2 linked regions of the Xenopus tropicalis genome follow. The protein of the gene in region 1 interacts with the protein of each later gene in a pairwise test. Links are inferred from orthologs where the notes say so. Each region holds a gene or a part of one and is shown in the gene's direction. Other genes may lie near its edges.

Region 1 (4,415 bases):
CATTTGATTTTGGCAAATCTCAACAATTAATTTTTCATCTAAATGAGACAAAACAGCAGCACCCATTTTTATCCACTAGGTGGACCAAAATCCAGAAATGTGTAAAATGTGTAGAACAGTGGCTCAGGGGCAATATGTTACCCACAAACCCCTTGGAAATTACTCCCAGGGGCGTCAAAGCAGCTGCTTATTTTTAGATTACTGGCTTAAAGTCACATTTTGGTTACATAAAAACCAGGTGTACTGCCAAACTGAACTCTGAACTCTGTAGGCTGCCAGGCCACATAGGGGCTATCAGATAGCCAATTACAGCCCTTATTTGGCACCCCAGGAACATGTTGCATGTGTTGCTCCCCAACTCTCTTTACATTTGAGTGTGTCTCAGGGATAAAAAAAGGTTTAGGATCCCTGATGTAGAACATGGTCTCCCTTTATAGCAGTTCTCATTTTGATGCAACTCACAAGCAGAAATGATCATATATAAGAATTAGAAAACAACATATTATTCTCAAGCTCAGCATGATAGAAATGCTACTTTTTTTTAACTGTGGATGCACTGGATCCATAAGGTTTGAAACCTCTGGAAAGATCTGTCTGACTTCTGAACTAAATTTGAACCCTAATTATTTTATATATTTTTTATATATAAAAAAACCAAACTGCATTACATGGGGGGGGGGGGGGTAGGCTCTTGGGCACATACTGTTAGGCCTTGTGGTACTCTGGCCCTGTGCATTAGGAAGTTGAAAAGGGGGGGGGGGGGGGGGTGGCAGAAAACAGCAGGGGGCATGTCTTGGGCATCCATACCTTAGGCCTGCATCAAATTGTTTTTTTTTATACACAATTTCAAAAACAATCACATTCTTATTGTATTCACATCAGTCCTTGCCCTAATGCCCCTATGACAATCACAGACACTATGGTCAGTGCTGTCAGGAGCCAATCAACCTTCGTAAATATTTTCAGAGAAGGTGAGTTGCCGCAAAAACATCACTATAATCACAGCCATAAAGCACCAGGACTGTCGCTTAGATAAAGAAATAATCTAAACGCGCATTTAAATGACCCATTGCAGCTACAGTAGTTTTTTCCGTAAATGTTCTCATTTTTGCGAGCAGCATGTTGGGACCGAAAGGATTACGCTTCTAGAGCCCCATTCAGTACAAATCCGGATCTGCGTACTGAGCTTTAAGCAGACAGTACCTGCACAATAGTACAACAAACGCAATTATTTAGTATAATATCCCACTAGCGCATTTGTGAGTCCTCCACTACCATAGAGCTACTTTCCTTCCCCAAACAGCCCCGCCCCCTAGGTGTCAAGCTAACCAATCAATGAGCGAGCCTGGGTTCGCAAGCCCCTCCTTCTGATGTCACAGCCTCTCAGCTACGGCCGTTAGGTTTTTGAAACATTTGAACTCTTTGGGCGGGAGAGGAAGGCACCGCTTGTGCAGGACGGGGTGGGAAAAAACGCAAAGGAAAATAAGAGCGGGTTACAAAGCAGCGCACGGTACGGGACCCGGAATCGGTAAGTGCCGGCTAATGTTAACCCTTTCCGTGCCCACGGCATGCTTCTCATAGGTTCCTGTCAGACTGCCCGGCTGGCCGCTGTGAGGCTCTATCTCCACTGCTGGAGGTTCCAGACTGGCCTCTAACAACCTCTGATGCGCTGCAGCTGCACAGCTCTGTCCCTCACCCCTTCTCTCTATCTGGGTTCCCTATAAGCCCCGTATTTGTCGCGAATAACTACGCACTATCCAAGGCTTTCTCCCTCTACCAGCCGGACATAATATCCTCAAGCCGTATGGGGCCGGCATGCCCCCTTTGGGTTTAAATGACCAGCGCTGACCCCTTCGGGTTTAAATGGACCGGTCCCCCCCCCTTGTGTTGAAATGGCCCAGCCTGACATATTTAGCTCAATGCAGAGTTGGCTGCTATAGGAAAGCCTGGGGCAATGACTGGGGGTGGCATCATAATTTAAAATTACGTTGGATATTGTAGAGGTTGTGTTTGTTTTCCTATTTATGTGTGTAATCCTAACATAAGGGTCAGTTATGGGGATTGCTGTACTGCAGTGTGGGGTCTGATACCCAAAATGCTTAGGAATTGGTTTTTGTTTTATTGAAACCAATATAAATTCATGCAACTTGGTTACCATCAAGTACAGAGTATTGTCTTATTATAGAGAGGCAGGAAATCATTTTTTTTAAATCTAATTATTTTGCTTTCTGCTTAAGAGGCCCCCAATCTTGTTTTGTATCTTAACGCAGGGGTATCACCTAAAAAATACAAATAAATCTTAAAACCACTAGTTTAAATTTTTAATTTTTTGCTTATTTTGTCACAACCCACCAAGACTTTTATTTAACTCATTCCATGCCAGCTGCAGGAGTGCTCCAAGTCTGCTTTTTGTTTCACTGACTTAAACAAAACCTGGAAGCATATAAATACATTGATAGTACTCTGTTTGCCAGCAATGTACATTCATTTTTTTTGTTGTAGTTTTCATATTATTAGCAGTTTTAGACAGCATTGCACTGGCTGGCCACCAAAAGGTTAAGTGACTACTGCTGGCAGCATCTCCTGCACGGTGTTCTTGTCAGCTCATGTAGAATTTTCTGAGGAGTGTCATTGGGGATGCTTTTTTCTCTCACAGAAATTGGCATTTTGGTATCCCCTGGTCTGTTAGGGTGAAGACACACAGAGCTACTTGTAGCAGCTACTTGTCACAGCTACTAAAATAGACAATGTTGATCATTTACTGATGACTGTCTGTGTTTTATCAGAAGCAATTCTCAGTATTGTCTATGGCAGGGTATTTTCTGGCGTTTAGTAGCTGTGACAAGTAGATGCTACTAAATTGCTCTGTGTGTTTTATACCCAAGGCTTTACTACACTGCATTGTGTGACAGGATCTAGTTGTCTCCTGTTTGGTATATGTTTGACCCTCTATGAGAGTAAACTACAAGTTATGTTTCTAATAAAGCCAAGTTGTCTGCTGATGACTTTCATTGTAATGTTATCTGCTATTAGTAAGTCCTCTTTATTTTGCAGGTTCCACCATGAACGACGCGGAGTGCCTGTCCCACCTCTTGCAGGTGTGTGCTCGCAAGACGGAGGAGTTTGTTCGGACTCTTGACAGCAAGCACATGGTTTGGCTTCTGGAGATTGAAGAAGAGGCAAGAAAAATGTTCAGCAGGTGCGTTCTGTATGAACCATAACAATTCGACACTTATTACTCTATCGCTAGATATGGAATGCATGCTCAGTCTACTGATTTAGCATCATATAATCATATATAATATCTTTTTAAACAATAATCCCTGCCTTTCCTAATGCCCTATTACTTACCAGTGTCAAACTCTAAAGTCCCATCACATGTTTGCTGCAACCATTGCATTGTGTTTGTGGAGTGGATCTATAGGCTGGATGCACTGTTTCCATGGGTTGCGTCAGCCAAACGGGTCTGTTTCCCTCTTAAGCTCCATGTCATGGCTGTTTCTTCTGGTAAGTAATAAAGGTCCTGGGGAGGCAAGAGTTTAGTGCCACAAAGGTTTTTGTGATGCCCATTCCTGTAAAAGGGTGGCAGGAGTCCAGTTTGTATTTCCTGATTGGTTGGTCCAAGTAGCAAATGTTGACTAGCAAGTGAACTGGATAAATGCTTTATGGGCCTTAGTTATTTTTTTTTATTTATAACTATTTAACAAATGCAGGCATATCTGCAAGTCTCTCCCCAGTAGTGCCCTTTAGCCTATCCTATCACTGCAAACAGTCGGTATTGATGATGCACTTGTACCCAGAAATTGAAAGTTCGCCCTAGAATTTTTAGGTCACAAGCATGTTAAGTTTTTAACCATATTGTTTAGGTTGTGGTTATTGTTTGGCAAAGAAAGCTAATCTGAAACAGCTTCCGGGTTAACTTGATTTTTTTGTTACTGGAATGCCTTCTTGCCAGGCAACCCAGATTAACTGTGTAACCCTTTAACATTTATAAAATACGTAATACATTCCATACCTCTGTTCTGCAAGACTGTATCCAGAAAATGTGGAATATATAATAATGTTTGCAAGAAATCCACTTCCTCCAGCCCAAAAGCTCTAATTAAATCCTACAAATATTTCTTCTGAATTGATTTAAAATATTGTTTCAGTCCAGACTGTGTGCCTGTAGGGCTTTTGTTTGGTATATGTATAGATAGGTGTGCGCAATACATCTGGAATGCAGAAAGTTCTGCTTGAGGGAAGAAACAAGCCTGCTTCTATTGTTTGTCTTGAGTTTAAGGGAAGGCATCTTATTTATAATGTTGGTTTATTTTCTATACCTATTTTGCTTACTTATTAGCGAACTGTGAGCAAGAATAGCTGTCTAGAAAAAGTATTTTTGCAGCCTCCACTCACAAATACATGGGTGTGTT
Region 2 (4,415 bases), on another chromosome or scaffold:
GGCCTCCAATAAACAGCTTGCGTAGTTGCTCAGGTTCCTTGGGTGCCTACACAAGAGGCAAGAATTAGTGACAGCCGGTGTCTAACAGGGAGCTTCTAAAGTAATACAATATCGCATACAATCCACAGAATAAAAGCATTGTCATAAACAATGAATTCTATTATAATCTAAAATATACATAATATTTTAGATAAAAGATAGTACCAAAATCTGAATAGGAAGCTAATTTGTCTAGTTTGGAACACCCTTAAACAGGTGTCAGTTTTGTACAATGTAGACAGACACGAGGTTTACTAGCATGTACTGGGTTTAACTATGTTGGCTGGATGCCAAAAGCAAAGGGACAGGCACAAAGGATTATTTTTCTTCATCTACTATAAGACCCTTTCCTATTAATTTCACCCTCTACCCAAACCACAAAAAAAATAAAAAAAATTTAAAATAAAGCCTATCTTGCACTTAAGCAATAATCTATAGCAACCAACGAGATGTTTGGCCTTTGTTCAGCCAGCAGCAGGAATGGTGAAACTACCACTGATGTGTTGCTATGGGTTACTGCCTAGGTGCAAACTTGCCCAGTGATTAAAAAGGAGACTCGCTAATTGGGCAAAGTTAGCAGCCAAGCCTCTAGGTGGGGGAAGTGCACTGGTTAGGCCTAACCAACCCAAGCCTCTAGGTGGGGGAAGTGCACTGGTTAGGCCTAACCAACCCATTCACCAAAATGGTGAATCACCAGTTTCCCCTCCCCCACCGCGATACCATAAGGGTCATTTTTTTCTATAGGAACAGGTTTCATTTAAGTTGAATGTGTAGAAGCCATAAATAGCGAGAATAATAAGTATATTGTTAGCCTGAACATCGAAGCTGAAAACACGCGTTTTTACAAATCCGGGAATAAGTTTGCCTTTCTGTTACCAATTTGTACGGTATCCGAGAGAGAGGTATTCTTTTATTTATTGCTAGAGAATATCTAATATGTATTAAGGAGAGGCCTAATCATGTGTGGCGTTAGAGAAAAGGCGCCTTCCAGCTACGGGCCACAGCGCCGCCATTAAGCGAGTAGAAAATAGGCGGTACCATAGCGCCTCGCAGGGTGGAGCGCACAAAATGGAGTCAGACAAAGGAACTCTACGCAAAGCTTCCAGCTCGGCGTCTAAAGAAAATCCCCAGCCAGGGCCTACATGTTATTCACATAATTTAGTCGTTATCTAATATAGCCTGACCTACCGTAGCACTCTCATATATACAGCATACAAAAAAAAACCTGGCCCAAAAAGGCGCCAACACTCCTACTGATACTTATGCCCATAACTAGAAGGCGTAAAACTAAACGACTATGATAAAAAGAACCGAATGCATTATGCACTGGCGCTAGGCCTTACCTCGGACTTGTGCATGGTGACTCTCCCCGATGTTAACTCAACAACAGCAGAAACAAAAGAGAAGCGACAGGAAGGAAGAGTGGGGGATTATAGCGCAATGGCAATGTATATTTAGTGCGCCAGAATACGCCCACTTGCCTCCTAATTGGTCGCTGTCTGCGTAGGCATCGTCGATTGGGCAACTAGCGTGACGTTTAACTTCAGCGATTGGTTAAGACGTTGAGGAGGAGGGGAAAAGAAATCGGGTACGTTTAGTCAGTCCTTTTGTCCGGCCTAAGTGAGGTGCTGGTACGCCCCGTTTTCTCATTGGGCGAGTGATTATCGGTGTGCATATTTTATACAGAGATTTCCGTACTGGCCCGGTGCTCGTTTTATAGAAGTTCGGGCAGATTTGGTTCTAGCCATTGAAATTACATTTTATAGGGCCTCAACCTTTGGTTATGAATTCTGGTGAATGGTTAGGCTGCAGTATGGCACGGACTGGGCATAGTGTGTACCCGAGGAGGGGCATTCCTTTAGGCTGGAGGGCGGTGTTGCGCATGCGTCTAGTGGGTTGTTTTTGGCGGGGTTTGGTCGCTGGCTGCGCACAGTACCGCTCGGTAAGAGCCTTCACTCAATTCCTGCTAGCGAGCAGCTTTCGGTGGGCGCACGGTGTATTTCGCGCAGGAAGGTGAGTACAACTCGCTGCCTCCCACCCCTCCTCGGCCCTTCCCATTCATTGGCTGTGTGAGGTGCTGCTGCTGGCACTGTGCGAATAATGGGGTGCCCCGGCTTCATTGTGGGAGACAGGGACAGTGATGTGGGAGACAAGGGGCGCTGCTGATTGGCGGAAGCTTGGGGGTCATTCGCAAACTTTGGGAGGAACGTGTTGTACCGTTCAGCCGTGTAGCCGGGCAGCGACAGTGCGAGGCTTAACTTAGGTACTTACCTGGGGCTTACAGACAGCGCTGGGCAATACCCATTGCTCTCTCCCCCTGGTATTGTATCCTGGGCTGGTCCTATTGGACTATTATACAATAAAAACCTGTATGGCATGATTCTGTTGTATATTCTCTGTATACAGATATCGGGCATGGCCAACATCCAGCTGTTCAGTTGGGGGAGGTGTAGTACAACAGCTGGATGTTGATGTGAGTCCTCCATTCATTCCATCATCATTGTGTGTCAGCAATCACATATGGAACGTCTGCTCTTCTGCACCCCTCCAGCTGCTGTGAGCTATGTCTGCACATATCAGCCAGCAGGTCAGAATGGTGTAGTTCAGCAGGAACAGTCTGCCAGGGGTTGGGCATCCCTAACCCAAGTAAAACCATGGCCTGTGGCTATGGAAATGGTAATACATGCAACACGCAGTACAGCAGCTTTACACCAGGCACATAACTTACTGGTATCACTTGAAGCAGAAAAGCAGTTTCTATGCAGTTGTCTCCATAGGTTAAGGCTATTTGCAGCAATTCCACACTTTTCTGTTAAATGAAGAGTGCCTATATTCAGAAATTCTGCCCTTGGAGGGGGGCGCATGCAACGCAAATAAGAGCGTTGCAAAATGGCTTCAGACATCACTCAGACCAGCTCTAGGCATTTCTATCAATCTCACCTCCTGTAAATAAAGTAAATACCTTGCTTACATGAGGCTTGAAGGGGGTCTATGGCAGGAGCTTAAAAACTACTATGCTTACAACCAGCTAGGCTGCTACCTAGGGAAAATGAAAAATGTCCCTAGGGAAATGAAAGGGAACGTGTATTTATAATATGACAATACACTTTAAGCAACGGCATTCCTTTAAATAACCTTCACACCTGCATGCCAACACAGCAAGCTTACTAGGTGTAATCACTAATGCTAACCTATAACCATACCATCTGGCAATTCTGTAGATTCTGGCAAATGCCAGAGGGGCTGCAGTAAGGTGTGGTAGACAGTCACTATTTATTGGGCCAGTGGAGGGGATTGGGCCTCCGTGTATGTCAAATACCAGGGCCTATTATGAATCTTAAGGTGTCCATGCACTGGGCAATTTTAGCTGCCAATATTGGTCCTTTAGACTGATTTGGCAGCTTATCTGCCCATGCATGGGCACCAACAACAGGCCCCAACTGACATCTGACTTGAAATCGGGCAGGTTTGATATTTACATTGAATTGGGGACCGTGTCGGCTCGTTTATGCAGTCTCTGAACTGATGGTGCCTATGCCCACCATTCTAATTCAATTGTTTGGCCCTAAGTTGAATTAGCCCAATATCACCCACTCGTAGGGGGCCTATCGAGAGAATATCGGATCTTACGGTGTATGGCCACCTTTAGTCCAGACTCCCAGATAAAGTCTGCTGGAGTATAGGGAGTAGTAGTTGAACAGCAGGAGGTTCACAGGCTGGACATGTGGGCTTAAATGTGCCTTTGTATACTTTATTCTTAGACTGTAGACATCTTATGTATATAAACAGTAAACATGTATAAACAGTGGGCAGATTTCCACATGGGCAGTAACCCATAGCAACCAATCCATGACTGCAGATTGAACAATGAAAAGCAAAAATGTGGTTGCCATAGGTTACTGGCCAGTGTTCATAAAAAAGCCCCTGTACACAGTCTACTTTGGAAGGGCAGGTGACATCTCTGTTTACCACTTGACCACAAAGGGGTTAAGATAACTGAGTGAAATTGCTCTTAACTTTCACTCTTATGTACTGTTTGATGACTTTATTATTTCAGGTTGCTTTTGCAACTTAAGGTGGAACTCCACCCAAACACAACTTAAGCGTTTTAAAGAGTAACTTTGTAATATACATCAATTAAAAAATATGCAGCAATTTCATGATTTTTAATATACAGGTATGGGATCCCTTACCTGGAAACCCATTATCCAGAAAGTTCCGGATTACGGAAAGGCCAACTCCCATAGACTCCATTATATGCAAATAATTCTAATTTGTAATTCTTTTCTCTGTAATTATAAATCAGTACCTTGTACTTGATCCCAATTAAGATATAATTTAATCCTTACTGGAGGCAAAACAAGCCTATTGGGCTG

The links. The genes of interacting proteins can lie anywhere in the genome.
Region 2: the proteins of incenp (region 1) and cbx5 interact in binary tests that used the Homo sapiens proteins (3 or more experiments, as listed by UniProt). The link is inferred for Xenopus tropicalis from reciprocal best matches to the Homo sapiens genes INCENP and CBX5.

Annotation. Positions count from the first base shown.
Region 1 is NC_030680.2:22,838,707-22,843,121, forward strand, and holds the start of incenp (inner centromere protein), read left to right. Parts: upstream 1-1,477; 5' UTR 1,478-1,528; intron 1,529-3,054; 5' UTR 3,055-3,062; coding exon 3,063-3,199; intron 3,200-4,415. UniProt on the Homo sapiens protein: Component of the chromosomal passenger complex (CPC), a complex that acts as a key regulator of mitosis.
Region 2 is NC_030678.2:145,615,877-145,620,291, forward strand, and holds the start of cbx5 (chromobox protein homolog 5), read left to right. Parts: upstream 1-1,906; 5' UTR 1,907-2,052; intron 2,053-4,415. Other genes in the region: hnrnpa1 (heterogeneous nuclear ribonucleoprotein A1), read right to left, coding at 1-46, 1,383-1,397. UniProt on the Homo sapiens protein: Component of heterochromatin that recognizes and binds histone H3 tails methylated at 'Lys-9' (H3K9me), leading to epigenetic repression. In contrast, it is excluded from chromatin when 'Tyr-41' of histone H3 is phosphorylated (H3Y41ph).